Schizosaccharomyces pombe: one gene and its partners. Changing the gene in region 1 together with any one later gene gives a genetic interaction. Each region holds a gene or a part of one and is shown on either strand. Other genes may lie near its edges.

What was found.
Region 2: mutations in set6 (region 1) and asl1 together harm fitness less than expected from each alone (positive genetic interaction), as found in Schizosaccharomyces pombe (one large-scale study listed by BioGRID).
Region 3: mutations in set6 (region 1) and SPOM_SPAC5D6.04 together harm fitness less than expected from each alone (positive genetic interaction), as found in Schizosaccharomyces pombe (one large-scale study listed by BioGRID).
Region 4: mutations in set6 (region 1) and gmh4 together harm fitness more than expected from each alone (negative genetic interaction), as found in Schizosaccharomyces pombe (one large-scale study listed by BioGRID).

What each region holds. Positions count from the first base shown.
Region 1 is NC_003423.3:3,643,278-3,647,605, forward strand, and holds set6 (histone lysine methyltransferase Set6), read right to left. Parts: upstream 2,263-4,328; 5' UTR 2,166-2,262; coding exon 2,087-2,165; exon of another isoform or gene 2,049-2,086; coding exon 1,909-2,048; intron 1,774-1,908; coding exon 541-1,773; 3' UTR 516-540; downstream 1-515. Other genes in the region: rpp201 (ribosomal protein P2), read left to right, coding at 1-220, 284-307; leucine carboxyl methyltransferase Ppm1, read right to left, coding at 2,382-2,663, 2,713-2,981, 3,038-3,161, 3,215-3,472; karyopherin exportin-T Los1, read right to left, coding at 3,868-4,328.
Region 2 is NC_003424.3:191,419-195,810, forward strand, and holds asl1 (O-glucosyl hydrolase Asl1), read right to left. Parts: upstream 2,633-4,392; 5' UTR 2,471-2,632; coding exon 878-2,470; 3' UTR 510-877; downstream 1-509. Other genes in the region: mevalonate kinase Erg12, read right to left, coding at 2,701-3,840, 4,090-4,164.
Region 3 is NC_003424.3:1,504,588-1,509,208, forward strand, and holds SPOM_SPAC5D6.04 (auxin family transmembrane transporter), read right to left. Parts: upstream 2,989-4,621; 5' UTR 2,585-2,988; coding exon 2,441-2,584; exon of another isoform or gene 2,312-2,440; coding exon 2,181-2,311; exon of another isoform or gene 2,145-2,180; coding exon 2,054-2,144; exon of another isoform or gene 1,997-2,053; coding exon 1,004-1,996; 3' UTR 501-1,003; downstream 1-500. Other genes in the region: mediator complex subunit Med18, read right to left, coding at 25-151.
Region 4 is NC_003423.3:1,387,779-1,392,247, forward strand, and holds gmh4 (alpha-1,2-galactosyltransferase Gmh4), read left to right. Parts: upstream 1-1,757; 5' UTR 1,758-2,404; coding exon 2,405-3,315; intron 3,316-3,368; coding exon 3,369-3,444; 3' UTR 3,445-3,888; downstream 3,889-4,469. Other genes in the region: SPOM_SPBC8D2.16C (uncharacterized protein), read right to left, coding at 1-790, 834-959; SPOM_SPBC8D2.18C (adenosylhomocysteinase), read right to left, coding at 3,889-4,469.

The DNA of each region.
Region 1 (4,328 bases):
CGGTATTGAAGCTGAATCTGAGCGCATTGAAACTTTGATCAACGAGCTTAACGGTAAGGATATCGACGAGCTCATCGCTGCTGGTAACGAGAAGCTTGCTACTGTCCCCACTGGTGGTGCTGCTTCTGCTGCTCCTGCCGCCGCTGCTGGCGGTGCTGCCCCTGCTGCTGAGGAGGCTGCTAAGGAGGAAGCCAAGGAAGAGGAGGAATCTGATGAAGACGTAAGTTAATTTTAGATAAGAAGCATTCTTTGTTTCTCAAAAGCATCTTACTAACAATTTTAGATGGGTTTCGGTCTTTTCGACTAAACCAAATGATCCCTTGTTTTCATTACGCTTTCATAAAAATAAATCGCCGTGTTGGTTTTATTTTACCAATTTTTTTTTAGTGCTCCATTCGTAATAGTATTTTTCGTTTGATAAATGTAATTTTAGCTTACTTTAAATGTTAATGTACCACTGGTGCCCCGTGTTGTTGATTTGAATATAAGAGACTTTACACTTGTAAAGCAAGTCGTTGTTTCGAGAATAATAAATTTTATTTAGTATGTTACTAGGAAGTCTTTACAAGCGGCCCATAATTTTTCTTCAAATGCTTTCAAATTGTTTTGAACATGAAGCATGCAATAGTCTTTACAAACCTCAAATATTTCTTTAATGTCATTTTCCACATTTGAACAAAATGTGGTCGAAGGATGACTTATTCTAACTGCTTGCTGTAGCCTTTGAGCCCTATCTAAAAGCCACAAAACAAAATCATCAAGGGAAATAGAATAGCGGCCCAAAATACAGTGGTGTAACCCTCCAAATGATGGTATATTCTTCAATAAAAATAACGAGTTATTGGTAGGTACAGTCTGCTGAGGTTGAGAGCTGGACGGGAACTCCATCTCCAAAGGTTTGTCATTAGGAAACATTAAATGCTTTACTTCCATAGCCACTTGCTTTCCCAAAAGCAGTAATTGATACTCATCAACCACATGAAGTGCATCCAAAAATTCATCAGCACTACTTTTCAGATATAAAGCGGCAAACGCACCATTGAAATTAGACTCATCAAGCATTCCTAGTTTAATATGATGTAAAAGATTGGACCAAGGAAAAGCGGTTTGTTTCCAACCACAGGACCATAAGTCCCTGGCCATTGCTAAATTTTTCATAAGCGATTTAGAGTTGCGAAGTCGTCCCATCCATTTTGAACCATCTGTTTCTTTTGTAGTGTGGTCGTTCTCACACCTTGGACAATAACAAGAAAAAAAATACTTTTTGAGAAGCTGTTTCTGTCTGATTGACTTTGGAAGTCGAATATCAATGTATGAGATGAAAAGCTGTTCATCTTTCTTAATATCACGTTTAGAAACAAGCTGCACAATTGCACCATCGAAAATTATTTGGCAATTTGGATCACAAGAATGATTTAAGCGACAGAGTATAGTATCTAAACACATACCCAAAGAATCGAAAGACGAAGTTACAAGATTCATAGCATTAACAGCTAGCCTACAGAAAAGTTTTTGAAACAGTTCTGCTTGATAAATTTGGGTATAATGTGAGGCTGCAGAAGCAATTAATTCTGCATCTGACCAACTGGAGGATACAGCTTGAAATTCGTTTTGGTGTCCTTCCATAGGTTCAATGATAGCAGGATTTTTTTGCCATAAGAGATACAATCGTATTAATAACCGACATACAGAAGGTAGTATACCGTTTTGCTTTGACGCTTGTAGTGCTTTGCATTCTAATTTGTGGAAAGGCCAGTCTGCTTTCTGACAACCCTAAAAAGCCTGTTAGTACTAAGTTAAAATGAGTAGTCGCTTTTCACGAACAAATTGAGTTTGTAATTGAAAGCTCGATAAGCAAATTCGCCAGATTGTAAATCTGTTTTACGAAAACATAATAGACTTGTTTACCTTGGAACAGTAATGAATTATTTTACATGCCGCGCAGCGTTGCGTTTTCACCTTCTCTTCCGTGCAAGTCGAGCAAGTGCGCGTCAGATTAGCAGAATCTAAGCTCAAAATATCAACCCTTTTCCGAATAATTATCTTTCCTAAAAGATTTAGTGGTTACTTCGCTTTTTGAGCATACCAATTGGGATATTATCTGTAGCAACGGTTCCTTTTCCAAACTCAGGTAAAATAACAGAGGCAATCAAAGGGGCGTCCATTATCAACAATTGCTATCAGGCTTCAGAGTAAAAATTCAAATCAAACATGAGAAGTGTGCTTCAATGGTTTCGAATACTTATATCTAATGGGTTTCTTGTTGCATAAGTCCGTTTCGACGACGAACATATTAACGAACTGAAAGGTTACATACGTAATTTAAAAAAAAGTATAAAATTGAATTTATCTATAGCAGATGTAAAAGTTATATAATTTGATTAAGTTTTTAAATGAGGAAGTTGCAATATTATCTGATTCCAAAGGTTTTCTGTAGCTGCAAAAGTTAAGCAGTAATGCTTTGCTAACAATTGCCATTCTTCCAACTCATCAAGCATTTCTATGCTCATCGTTCTTTTCTTTTCTTCTATGGGTATCCAGGTTTCTTCAATAGTTAAAAAATCTTCTGCAATTACTTCCGAGTATCCATAATCAAGAAACCTCATCCTTTGCTGCTCAGTTGTCTCATAACAATCGAGTGTTTTAAGAATCACTCCTCTTGCCTAAATTTTGTTAGTTCTTAATCTGTGAAATGATATGCAAGCATCGTACAGAAAGATTAGCCTTCATCATTTTTCCAAAGTTATCCATCCCCTGAATAGGTTCATAAACAACAATGCCAGAAGTTGCAAACATATTTTGAAACCACCGGCATAATGAACTAGCTTCTTCAGGTTCCAAATAACACAAACAACATTCTGACAGAACAATAGTCGGCAAAGAAAAATCTACAAACCCAGGAAATCCTTTATGGACTATTTCTCGAATATCGTAAGAATATATGTCCAAAGAGCCAGAAACTAAAGACCCTCCAGAAATGTCTTTTATGGTCAGCAAATTAATAATTTGTAAGTCAACTTTTCTAAAATTAGCTCACCCACAACATAATCCCCGATGTTTTGCTTTAACGCTTCATGCTTCTCAATTGTTCGAATTTTCCGTATACAATTTGGGTAAAAATCGAATTCAATAAATTTTAAATTTTCAGGTCCGTATTCAGACTTACTGTAGTTAGTAAAGACTGCATTTATCTTTTGTTTTAGCATAAGCATACAATATATCGAAATACTCGAGTATCAGTACCGGCTCCTAGTGAAATAATTTGTTTTTTACCATCAAAAGATTCTATGAATTTTTGAAGAATGTGGTCTATAGACCATGTTCTAACATAGGTTCCTCGATTTATGATAGGAGGTTTATGCGAATTTCGACTAGGACTAAAGAATTTTATAAAAGGATCATGAATATATCCGCTTTTTGTAGCACTCGATCTGCATTTCAAAGCATCCAAATCTGTTTCAGTAATGTCCATTTTAAGAATGCTTAATTCGTAACTTGTTTGGGTATAGTCAATTAATTTTAATAAGAGAAACGATTTTTTTTGTCAGTTTATTTATATTCAAAAAAATAAGACTGATTGATAATAGGCAAGAGAGCAAGAGGTGACGTTTTAAGGAAAGCGTGCACCACCTCAAGAGAACGGACATTCTGAAGCTAAACATCTTTTTATAAATTGAATAATACCGACAGCAGCATAAAACATCTAGACAAAATAATGCTTCCCGTTAGACGAATCTATCAATCTACAGCTCACGATATATTTTACTAGACGTTGCACCACAATGATCCAACAAGTCCGAAATAATCATTTTTATTGAAATGTTTGTATAAACACCCTATGTATAAACCGTGAAAAGCAAAAGCTTCTCATACATTACCACTTTTTAATGCTTGAATAAATTTTTGAAAAAATTGTTTGAATGATCTACTATCCAGATTTGATAAAGCTTGTAAATATTCAGAAGCCATTACGTCCGGAAAGTTGACGGTGGGAAAATACACCGTTACAAGATATGACTTGTATATATCACCTAGCTTTTCAAGTATTATTTTTTGTAATCCAGCCAGTTCCCCTAAAACTACCAAAGACTGACCATCACGGGTGTTAAAATTTGGGTTAACAGGCATTTCAAAACATAATGGTGTCAATGATAAAGTAAAATTTTCGAATCCAGCAATTCCATCCTTACCTCCCCATAAGGAAACCATTTTAGAAACTAAAGCGATAGAACTTTTTTGTGTAGCTGGCTCACCCACCAAGTTTGCAAAATGTAAGATACTGTTAATAAGTGGATCAAAGTAAACCTGATTTTCTTCAGTAAAGAGGA
Region 2 (4,392 bases), on another chromosome or scaffold:
CATGAGTAGAGTTTCTTTTTATGATTACAGTGAGTAGAGCAGGTTAAGAATCTAGTACTAGATTACTCGGCGTAAGTTAAATCTGCTGCAAAGAACTATGCAAAAAAAAGGTTACTTTAATAAATTTTTCGCAAGAGATTCGAGATAACTTTTTCTTTTAATATCTGCTAATTAAGTTTGTGATGTCTCTTAAATTGCTCATGCTTCTAATATCCTATAGTTCAATAAGCCTTTTCTTGTTCGTGTGTCCAAAGTTGCTAAGACCTCCTTTTGAAAAGAGGCAAACAAGCATGTAAAGAACACCCAGATATCAAACCACCCACAATGGCGCAATGGAGAAATAGTTGTTTTATCATTACAGCAGTCAATTATGCATTTGTTTTCATTTTATAGACGAGACTTTCGCTTATTATTTACCTTTATACTACAGATCATCAACAATGTCAGCAAATAAAGTTAAACGACTTTATCAAGAGTTCCAAAGCTTACAGAAAAGATTACTAATAAAATTTAAAAGACATTTAACGACTGTATTAAATTAAAACACGCAGCATATTCATTGAATACACGCTTTAAAAATTGTGACATCAAACACAATGAACTTCATGGTTGGTAAAATAAACGAATGAATAAATGAAAGATCGATGTAATAAGAAGCACATCTCCTATAAGCATAGTTCAGAAAGCTTAAACAATCTGATAGATGGCAGAGTATTCAAAAAAAAGCGACAAAAACCATGAAACAAAATATCATAAAAAAGAGTTTCAGAGCAAGAAGAAATAAGAGTATTTGACAGTTTAAAGAACGAAAAAAAAGCATAAGAATTACCATTATATCTCACAAGATAATTTCCCATTTTGTGTAAATTTAAGGAGTTCAAGAAATATAAATCTCTCCGACTTCACTTAATCCACCAGAGGAACTGATAAGGGCATTGTTATTACCAACACCGGCTCCGAGTTCGGTAGCAGGAGCAAACCAACTGTAACGCTCAACAGATCCATGTCCATCTAAAAAGCCAAGAGCGCTGGTCATCAAAGTCTTAACTTCATCCAATGAAGGTAAATTGCTATCATCCCAGTTGGTGCAAGCAAATTCAGTAAGCCAAATAGGGAGACCGTAATTGGCGAGAGAGTTAATATAATCTTGCAAATTGCTAAAGTCAATACCATACCAATGGCAAGCAATGAAATCGATCTTACAATCAGAGCATGCGCTCATGAATTCAGAAAGCCAATCTTCACCTACGTTACTGATGGCAGGTGATCCCAAATAACCAATGGCACCAGATTCACGAAGAGGTGTTAAGTATTGAAGATAATAACTAGCTGCAGTAGCTGCATCTATAGGATTTCCAGCAGCGGACAAATCAGGCTCATTAAATCCAATGACGGTAGCACCACCAGTGAAAACAGAAGAAGCTGAAGAAAGGCTATTGGCATCATGTTGGTTGAGAACATATTCAAAAGAGGAACTCAGACCAGATGAATAACTACCCCAGTTGTAATACCAGTTGATGCCCTTATTGACAAAGTTATCAGAGTAACCAAGGTCAGTTCCAGGAATCCAGGCCAAACCGCGCTTGCCAGAAACTGAAGAACTAGTAGGAGATGCTGATGCAGAGCTTGAGGTAGCACTGGAAATAGTACTAGAAGCAGCAACAGAAGTGGCACTAGAGACAACAGAGGAAACGACAGCTGAAGAGGAGGCGGCAGCTGAAGAAACAGCAGGAGTACTAACTCCCTTGTTAGCAGCAGAAACACTGGCACTTGCAACTACAGAAGAAAGAGCAATAGATGATGAGGAAGTGGGGACGTAAGATGTAGCAGAGCCAGCTGATATCTCTGATGAAGAAGCAACTGAAGACGAGACAGGAGCCACATAGGATGAAGTTGACGTAGCAACTTCAGAGCTAGCAGGATAAGAACTAGTAACTTCAGTACTAGAAGCAGAATAAGAGCTAGCAACTTCAGTACTAGAAGCAGGATAAGAAGAGCTAGATTCGGAACTGGTAGCAGGATACGAAGTGAAAAATTCAGAACTAGAAGTGGCAGATGTCTCGGGAGTTGATACAGGGACAGAAGTATTGGACCATACGGGTGCAGTAACGTTGTCCATAGTATATAGAGGAGTACTAACAAAAGTGGCAGGGTAGCTAGTGGCAGAGGAACTAGCAGCAGGGGCACTGGTTGTTACAACCACAGATTCCGTAGAGGTAGTAGGTAAAGCCGTTGAAGCACCATCGTCGGACGACTCGGTAACAGAAGCTAAACCAGTGGAGTAAGAAGTATATGAGGAAGATGAGTTAGCACCAGGAACTGCGGTAACATAAACAGTCTCCAAGATAGTCTCATACACGGTTAAAACGCCATCATCATCACGACGGTGATGGCGATGGTTAGGAGCATAGGGCAAAGCTCCAACGGTCGATAAAAAAGCTAAAGCGACGGTCGCGAAAGTAGTACGCATTTTTTTAGAAAATACTAGATAAAACGCGTCTAATACTAAAAAAAGAAAGAAAAGATGAAATTTGGTATATAGTTGATATATAAAAGAGTGGAAAGGAGTGTTGCTAAAGAACGGACAACGACTCTTATAGACTAGCTTCTACTGTGGTGGTTGGTGAACGACAAGCCGCGTTCATTATCAAGCCACTCATATATATACCAGTTATGAAAATTTGATTATACATAAAAACTTTAAATATAATATTTATTAAATTTGCTGAGTAAATTCAATTTTTTAAAATCAAAGTCAGACTCATATTGAGGGAAAAATGAATCTGAGTCGGTTACCACTGAAACACCAGGTCCACCTAATTGAACATCGTAAATAGAATTTTTATGGGCTAATAGTGATTCTTTACATAACTTAAATTCCTCTTCTTTGCACTCAGGTGTTAATAAAGTAATCGTACAACCTCCACCACCGGCACCTGTAAGCTTCGTCCATCCAATTGACTTAGTGGCTTGTAAAACGCGATCAATGGAATAATGGGATACACCCAAGCATTCTAAGAGTTTTTGATTAAGAACAATAAACTCTCCTAACTTTTTAGCGGAGGAGTTTTTATCGCTCTCCGAAGTCAATGCGAGGACGGCAGACTTTGATATGCCATCGATTGCATCTATTATTGAGTCAATCACAGTTGGTAGTCTTTCCTTCAGTTCAAAAACTCCTTGTACAAGTTTTTTAGTACTTTTTGGTTGTTTGGTATCAGTGATCATAACAGATAAGGTATCTTTAGGCTTTAAGAATTCTTTCATGGCACTCTGATGAGCTGTAGCTTTACGAAAAGCGATAAGTCCTCCATTTGTTGCTACTGCATTATCAATACCACTTGGTGTTCCATGAATACAGCATTCACCTAGAAAAGACCAAGCCTCTATCAACGCAAGTGCTTTGTTGTTTTGAAGAGAATTTGAGCTAGGAGGTTCAATATTACCAAAAGCTAGTAGTAAACTTGTAGCGACAACAACTGATATAGTAGCACTACTACCTAATCCAGCACCCAAAGGTACTTGGGAGCTAATAGTTAAAGTACAACCCTGAGAAGGAGAAGACAAAGACGTGAACAAGTAAAGGGTACAAAGCATTGCTGAGTGAATAAGTCCGTTTTCTTCATTTTTTAATAGCTCTCCTAATCCTTGTAAAAGGTCCAGATTGGGAGATGATGCCGGGTGCTGAACGTTTTCCACTGTTACATGCTGCCAAGGTAGCGATTGAAGATTCCATCGGCGTTCGGTCCCTATATCACTCATCACAATTACTATTTCATTGTTATTAGTCGTCTGTAATTTACAGTAACTCCGTAACGATACAGCTGCAGCTAACGCAGTCTAGAAAGTTAGCATAAAAATTTAAATGATCTCCATATTTTCGCTTTAAAATGGCTTAAGATTAGAATCAAAAATAAGCATGGCTATAGCAGAATGACATTTGCGACGACTGTCAAAGTTAAAAGTGGTGTTCGCTTTGCAAATACTATGTTACAAAGAAATCATATATGCATAACAGAGCTGTATCCAGTACTAGCCTGTTAAAAACTCTCGCTAATGTAATCTGCTTTAAACCTTAGGTAAACTTACAGCTCCATATACAACGGCATGTTCCCCAAACAAAATCGTTTTTCCTGGCGACGAAACAATAAGCGATTTTGACATTTCAGAAATTTTTTTTACGTTCAACTTCAAAACACAGTTAAAATAAGGTGATGGTAAATAGGCGACGAAGGTTGGTTATCGACAGATATCTACGCAAACAGGACAAGGTGATGATGGTATTGGAAGTTGTAGCAAAAGATTGGTATTTTAATTAAAAAGTTACTTTATTTGATTTTGTTTTAAAAGTTCTTTTGTAATAAAAATCGCGATGTTATAGTTTTCATATGC
Region 3 (4,621 bases), on another chromosome or scaffold:
ACATATGCATTTTTCACGACATACCTTTAGGACGGTAAACTACCCAAAACTCCAATATTGTTTTCGGACCATCCAACGTTTTTGATAAAGAATTTACAACTGCTTCAAAACGCCTCGAGGGGACTACTCCTAAAAGATACAGTTCTTGCATAGCATCGCACCTCACCGAAATTGATTTCTTTTATCTCTTAAGCGTCTACTAAAGCTAAGCTACTGATGGTTGTAGAAATAGTGAACAAAATATACAATGCAATGTCAGTAGTAAGGGAAAATTGCTGTTGGAAGCCTAATGAGCAGTGTTTTCAACGCGGTGTAGTTAGCTATGTAACGAACGACCTTAACGATGAAAGAATGAGAATCATTATGAATCGCCATTATGGAACATAGTATTGATCCAATATTTCTTTCACATTTTCTTCGAATTGATACTATTATTGCTTTATTTCCTTTAATAATATTGAGCGCCGTGTTACTTGATTCTTGATTAAATAATCAAACTATAATAGTAAAACAATTCGGTCAACTAATATTTATACCAACATATTTGATTTTTGGGACGTTGTGGTAAACGCCGCATAAAATAAACTTTATATTAGAAAGACGATATAACTTAAGTTGCTATCGAGGTCCAACAAAGCTGAACACTTCAATAACGAATCATTATGAACATGATATCCAAACATTATAGAAATTGAAAATGGAAAGTGATTTCTTATGCATTGTATAAGAGCAAACAGAGTTTAAAAAGAAAACAATAAAAGATTAAAAAAAACTATTTAGCGGTATTAATAATACCAGTTAAACCAATAAAAACATATTAAATGTGAGCTTTTCGAAATGGAAAAAGACCGCCAGGTTAATCAATATCGAGTCACTACGTTTGACCAATTGACTATGTTAAATTAATGTGATAAGTAAACTTTCCGTGTGCTCTCAATTGTTAAAGTATACGCAGAAAACGATATTGTAAAACAAAAATCATCAGACGTTAACGATTTTAACTTTATTTTGTCCATTTCACAACTAAAAGACTAGCAAAGGCTAGCAACAACGAATTAGGAGGAGTAAAGACGGCATAAGACCACCATAAAACTTTGGCACACTCGCGTTCAAATACACCATTCAGTTGGCAGATTTGTGTTAATTGAATGGCGGTTGGGCTTCCCACAAGCAAGAAAATAACAACAACAAAAACAGGATCATCAACAGTACTTATTTCACTGAAGTATGAGAGTAAACTGAAAGCGGGTAATAATGCCAGAGGAACAACTACCATACGGCCAAGAAGACACACAATAATTACTCGAGTATCGTTATTTTTACGGACTTCTTGAGTAGGTTCAGTTTTGGAAATATCAGTAGCAAGACTTGCTCCCAAAACTACCAAAATCATAGGAACAGCAACTTGACCAGCCATTCGAATACCACTGGTGATGCTACCTTCAACGAACGAACCTTCTTCGAAGAAAAAGCGTTGCAGAGGAGGAACAACAGCAATAAATAAGGCGATAAATAAGGAGTATAAAGGAGGGCTGAAGAAATCTAACAGTAAAACAATAAACTTCGAGATCTTCGAAGAGGCTGCTCCAAACCCACCAACTTCTTCGTTAGAGGTTTCAACTTGAACGTTGTCATTTTTGGAAATCGCAGAAGAATCAGTTTGAACAGTTGAGCCCTCATTTGCCTGAACAGAATTTTGAACCCCATCTACATTTGCACTAGAAGCCAACAAATTCTGAATTTCTTCTTCATTAACATCGCTATGTGACCAAGAACGGTTACCGATAGGTAGAGGGTCCTCCGGTTGATTCGGAGAAAGGAGAATACGATAACCATAGGACCAACGAAGAGCTTGACCTAACTGAGAGAAAATAAGCAAATACATAATACCGCGTGAAGCAACCTTATCAGGTGTATCATCGGGAATTTTGTCCCATAGCAAATCCTTTACAGTAGTAGCTAAAGAAGATACCAAGGCCAAAGGTAAGGAATTTGACTAAAGAGTTAGTAAACAAAAACAAACGAACAATATTCTTGCAGGTAAGGTACGTACGTTTTGAAACGTTATGCAGGCAGTGGCGAAATTCCTTTGGCGAGGTGTCAGTCGGAAGAGTTTTGCAAGTAAAAATGATATCAGAATAGAACTGAAAGTTAGCAAAGTGAATGACTTAAATACTTACGCTGCGGAGATGATAACATAAAACACGGGTAAAAGAGAAAGATCAATCAGCATCTTCAAATTCAAACCGTTGCCAACTTTTTCAAATACTAGACAAGGAGTAAAGAAATAAACGTTCAGGCTGGATATTACCTGTGTAAAGTTAGTAAAATACTAGAGAACGCAAAGATAAATGAAGAGAAGAAATTTAATAGTTGAAAATTTATTTCTTTATTTCACTGCTCCATTTTTCTTTAAAACGGGGGGTAAAATGAATCATACCTTCTGAGCATCTCTAGGAAGAAAGCCTTTTTTAGCTAATACATAACCACCCAAAGCGATCACAATAACTTCCAAGTCACTTTCGATAATGGGCCTTAGAAGGCTCCAAACATTAATTTGGCCAAGAGAAGAAAAGAATCCCATAATTTTTCACTAAATGACGGATAAAAAGATTGAATCCTTAAGAAAACTTTTTCACTAGTTAAACCGAATTCCACACAACAACAGGAATCAAATCAAGGAAAAGCAAAAAAAAAAAGAAAAAACCAATAAGGTCGATCAACAGTGAAACCGGTTAAAGTATAACAAGAAAAAAAAGTATTTCCTATAAATAATAGGATAAGATTATTATGCGGTCTATCAACAAAAGCTTCTCAAAAAACAGGAATAAGGAGTAATCACTCTAAAAGTAAATTGATCAAAATGTTCCCAACAAAAGTCAATTCAAATGCCAGAAATTTTCAATCGTCAAAGTCTTTTCTCTGCAAACAGCAGAATGAAAAGGGTAGGTTAAGCTGAAAGGCCTGTTTGTTTTCAAGGTATAGGTTAGAACGACAAAAATTCAAAGCCTCAAAGTCAGTAAACCGCGTGGAGAAACATTGTTACTTAGAATGGCAAACTGACGCATGAAACTGATAGGTAAAAAAAAGATACACAGAAACAATTATTGAGGCTTTATGAAATACTTTCTTTACAAATTAGGGAAAAATAAGATGCTTGTAAGGAGAAATGAAAGAAGAATTCGGCCAATCCATAAATGATCTCTATAACGTAATCAGACTTAGATTTCGTTGTTTTAGGATTTTTAATATTTACGGCAGATCAATTAAAAAAATTACATTAATTTCGAACACCTTCAAGTTTCTCAAAATAAAAAATGAATGTTGATTGATTTTAGTATGGTCGAAAAAAAAAGGGATATACCTACCTGACACTTATTATAGAATCCGTTGAGTCAACTTGTATTCCATTATGAAATTTCTTTTTTATTCGTAACATAATGGTGTTTGTTAAAAATAATATAAAATATTTTAACGTAACGCTATAATTATAAGTTGTGGATAGCAAGGAATTGATACCAATGATAGTATTGTCGAGGATTCACTGTCAAACCATTTTATTTTCTGTTGTTGTAGAAAAATTTAATTGTCCTTAAATTTTCGATCAAACTCGAAAAACTTTTGTTGAAGCTGTACTAAACATCAGATTGGTTTGTGCATGATTGCATTCATTACCGCATAGGTTCGGTTGTGAAATAGCTAAAGCGTTAAATAGCAGAACAATCGTACACAACTTTGTGTAACTTAAATGTGAGTTTTAGCAGAAGATAGCTAGTTTTTATACATTTTCTGCTTTATTGGTTTTGTTTTCTTTATGTCTTCCTTGCAATTTTCTGTTTGTTTTCGAAACATCTGCCGAAGCTCTAACTTTTGCACCTACTGCTCCCAACAATTTTTGCCATCTTTACCAGGTCACATGTTCCTTGCGATGTGGACAGGTTCAATGAAGGTTGGAAGTTTGAAAGCATGTTTGAACATTATAGAAGTATAGACTGGATTCAAAGGGACGAGATTTTATATACAGTAGCAATATTTTAATATGTAACACCGTTTTTCCTGGTTATTTTTATCAAGAGCTTATTGTGTTTGCATGTAAAGATGTATACAGAAGTCCGTAGATAAATTAATACAGTGTTCTATTGTTATGCTTAATTAATTGCTTCCCAAGTATTAAAAATCCTTTGAGAGGTTCCTCTTTTTATCAGTCACGTAACAATTTACGTTAAACCTTCAGTTCTTCATTTGTAGTAAATATTTAATTACAAAAATGGTGAAATTTTTTTAACAATTCTCATGTCGTTAATCAATGAAATGCTTGACAAACAAAATCAGCCAAAAGAAGTGAAATAACTCTGTAGTTAGTAGAATCATAGCACTTAGTCTTGAGAGTTATTATCAATAAATTTTTTATCATATAAATTAAAAAAAAGAAAAGCATGAGGTTTTATTAGTGAGTACAAAAAATTTAACTAATATCAATCAGTTTCTATATTATTTCTTTCCAATTTTTATTTTATTTATTTATTTTTTTTAACTTCACTGCATCCTTACTGTATTGTTAATTACTCCTTTCTTGTTGAAAATAAACGGAAGTAACTGCAGTCATATAAAATTTTGAAGC
Region 4 (4,469 bases), 2.3 Mb from region 1:
ACAAACGGGTCATGGCCGCCAAAAGTATCTCTTCAGGAATGGGATCATTTAGAAAAGAAACTGGGAATGGGTTAAAAGAAATACTTTTGGCAGTGGAGTCTACGAGCTCTTTTTGTACGACATTGTCTTGTAAAACAAGAACAGCATGCCGAAACGAACTTGGTAAACTCGCTTCTAACTCTTTTGAAGTAATAGCTGAAGTCTGACTGTTGATTTGAACAACAAAGTCATATCCACCTTTGTAAGGAGAACTTTTACACAGCTGAGAAGAAAGACATGACCGCACCTTGTAACCCCAATAATGACCACCTTTTTCTCGTGGAGCTGAAAAAGACACGATATCACCTTGAAGCTGGCCTTCTTCGTTTGGAGACTGCGCTTTTAATCGAACCGTGACCCTTGTTCTAGGAGCAAGGACGCTGGGGCTGGAAACGATTACATTGTGAGATAGTCCAGCATTTATAATATATTTATTCTTTGCTTGCGGAGATGGATGAGTAACGATTCCCTCTCGGTATGGGAATTCAATATTCACTGTGCTAGCCTTGTCATTTCTGAGGGGAAGTAATGGAAAGCAGCTAGTATATTTTAGATGTGGATTTAGTGGAAACAATTCCTTCCTCATAAAGAAAGGCGTTTCGAAATAGCATAATAAGTCCGTGAGAAATTTTGTGGGATCCTTTAAATAAGCATCAGAGGAAAGTGTATGTACCTGGGTGTTTTGCACATATTCAGGGTCCTCTAGCAAAATAATTTCGTCAATACCATATAGAGAAACTATTCTCGAAATCTATATTTTGAGTTAATACGCGACAACAACGAATCTTTCAAACCTTCCAGACAAAACTCGTTTTAAGCTGCAAATTGTATGCTACATTTAGACTTGAAATAGGTAATGCTAAAGATATCGTATATCGTCTCGTTGGTGGTAAGCTTTGTATTTCGCTTTCTTTTTCCATAGCAGTTTCTGTAAGCAATTAATGAGAAGTAATAATATGGCCCAAGTAGCAGTATTTTATTTACTTTTTGCTGTCTTGGGAAACAGAATATTAGGATTTGGCTTTTTATAAAAATTTTAACGTCTTAAAAAGTTGGTGAAGAGTAAAGGCATGAATTTCATTTACCAGGCTAAAAACCGTCCATTTAATATAATTAAACTAATTTTAAATTTTTTTTGAAGTATTGATCAAGGTAAAGGGATATTTTATATCAATACTTTTATTGATAGGTAAAAAAAAAAATCCTGTACTTCATAAACAATGAAAAAAATTCAAACAAACAAATGTGTTTAATGCCATTCAATGAGTGCGATTTAAACTATCAATGAGTCTTCGTAAATACCAAAGGGCTATAGAATCCCCTTTTTTTTTTTTTTTTTTTTTCTTTATATGGAAATAATAAAAAAAATGGTGTACACTTTGCTTGCAATTTATATAAACCAACTATACACGCCGAAGCTTGTATATAACCGCTGTAAAAATTTGTTAGTAGAAAAAACAAGATGATATTTTATTAATTACATACATAATTTTTTAAGTCAATAGAAGTTCATCGACTCTGATTCAATTCATCTTCAATCTTACTCTATTTACTATTTACTTTTATGATTTTCGCTATATAATGAGTAGCACCGGGTATAACGCTATAACAGTTTAAAGTATAATTTCAATATCACTAAAAAAATCTAAAAACACGTTAGAGTACGTTAGGTAGGATGCATCGTACACGTTAATCAAAATCCTTCGAATGTCGAACACGCAGACTACAAATACAGCCAAGTTGCTGCCAATTATAAAAGCAACGTTTCTCTGCTCTTAGTACGTGGTTGGGTGGATCCTGATTTCTGTAAAAATCATATTCAATATCAATAACCAGTCCATCTTGACTCGTAGTCTTTGAAACGGTGTAAAAGGATTGTTGTCAGGATAAGCTATAATCTATTGTTGTTTAAATTGTAGAATCTTCCTCTTTTTTAAATATCGCCGATATAGCTTGACAAAAAGGCTCATTTTGAAAGCTAGGCGTTGTGTTCTCGCAAGGTTTCTTTCATTATCCGGTTTTTCGTATTTCTTAGTGAAAACGCCCTCTGTAACATCTTTACTGTTTTAATTTTCGGATATACTCGCGTATATATCGTTGGATCATTTATTTGCATTTAAAAAAGGGCCATATATATTCCATTTTCTTTACGACCCAGATCTTTATACCTTTTTTTCTCTTCTCTATTTATACCTTCTCGATTTACAGATATTCTCTTACCTTCTTTTCTACATTATTTGCACATTTAAAAAACCCCTAAGGTTTATTCTTTTAAACCGTTATCTTGTTCCATAGACGCGCATAACCAACTCATTTTTTCTCGCAAACTGTTTGTTTTGCACTTTTTTACTTTGTATTCTGCAAGATGTTCAACTTTCGTTTATTTTCTCGTAGAGGAAAAAGTTTAGGTCTCTTGGCCATCGTTTTATTGCTTTTTGGCTTTTATTCTTTAAAGTCTTCAATGCCTGTTTATTCCAATTCGATTGGTTCTCCCAGTGCCCATTCCTCTTCATACAAAGGTGTTTCTAAGGCGAAAACATCTCCACAAGATCCTGATTCCGTAGTCATGTTGATTGTTAGTTTTGACGACCATTATGATTCAAGTAGATCTGACTCCAGCTCTGTCTTCCTGGATAAAGTGCTTTCTGATCGTACAGAGTATGCCTTGCGTCATGGCTATACCCTAGTCCACAAGAAAGCCCGCGATATTCAAGCGAGGTATGGTGTCTATGGTACTTGGAGTATTATCCCAGCTTTGAGGGAAACTTTGGCTGAGTATCCCGACGCTGGCTGGATATGGTTGCTCGATGCAAAGGCTGTTATAATGAATCCTTCCGAATCTCTCAAGGATAGGGTCTTGAAACCAGAAAAACTGTCGCAGCATTTGCTTCTTAATTCTCCGATCGATCCATTAAAGAACTACATCCGTACACGCCGTAAAATGGATCCATCTGATGTATTTGTAATTACCACCAGTGATTATAATGGAATTAGTACGCGTTCTTTGCTTATTAAAAATAACAACTTTGCGCCATTTCTTTTAGATGCTTGGAATGAACCTTTGTTGAAATCCGCCGGTTTTGATCAAGCTGAGCGATCTGCGCTATCCCACTTATTGGAAGCACATAACACTATCTTGGATCATGTTGCACTTGTGTCTCCTAAAGTTTTAAATTCATACACCAACTCTGCGGTCGATTTGAATTACGAAGAAGGTGATTTCTTGGTTATTCTTCAGGACTGTGAGAACGCTGCTGCATGCGAGCGTATATTCGAGTATGTATTCTATTTATCATCTTGGTCTCTTGTATTTTTACTAACACTTCCAGCAACTACTATCAACAGAGAAAACTTCCAGCCATTAAAAAGCAGCTTTCGGAAGAAACGGTTGATGAACAATCGTAGGTTAGTACTGTCTTAGCATCTTACTTTCATTTCCAGTAACTCATCTTCATCTAAACCTATCTTTCAAATTCGGTGGTTTGCATATTCCTACATTAATTTAATGAATTTATACTTAATTTCCTTTGTTTGATCAAGGGAAGATATGTTTTTCGTTTACGGAAATACATCGCAGATTGGTTTACAAGTCAAGCAATTCATATGTTATATTCATCAAATCTTCTTAATGAAAGCACGTTAATTGCTATTCTATGCAAAGAAAGAAACATTTATTATGTTTGACCTGAAATCCACATAAACCCAGTTGAATAACATTAATGCATTTCATGGCGACATAGAGACATAGATGCTGTTGAAACATCACTCATGCAAAAAAAAGAGGCTGAAACATTTTTAAAGTAATTATAACTTCAAAATAAATTCTATAAACTAAATGATAAGAATAGATTAGTAACGATAGTGATCAGCCTTGTAAGGACCGTCAACAGGGATACCCAAGTAGTCGGATTGAACAGAAGTCAAAGTAGTAAGTTTGACACCGAGTTTACCCAAATGAAGACGGGCAACCTCCTCATCCAACTTCTTGGGAAGCATATGAACACCAAGAGGATAGCTGGTGTTATCGGTCCACAAAGCGATTTGGGCAAGGACCTGGTTAGTGAAAGAGCAGGACATAACAAAAGAGGGATGTCCGGTGGCACAACCAAGGTTAACGAGACGACCATCAGCTAAAAGAATGATATGACGACCGTTCTTCAATTCATAACGATCAACCTGGGGCTTGATGTTAACAACATCCTTAGCGTTAGCCTTCAACCAAGCGACATCGATCTCGACATCAAAATGACCAATGTTACAAACGATAGAGTCCTCCTTCATTTCGTTGAAGTGCTCACCACGAATAATGTCACGGCAACCAGTGGTGGTAACAAAGATTTGACCTTCCTTAACAGCCTCTTCCATAGTGGTGACTTCGAAACCGTCCATAGCGGCTTGAAGGGCATTGATGGGATCGACTTCAGTGACAA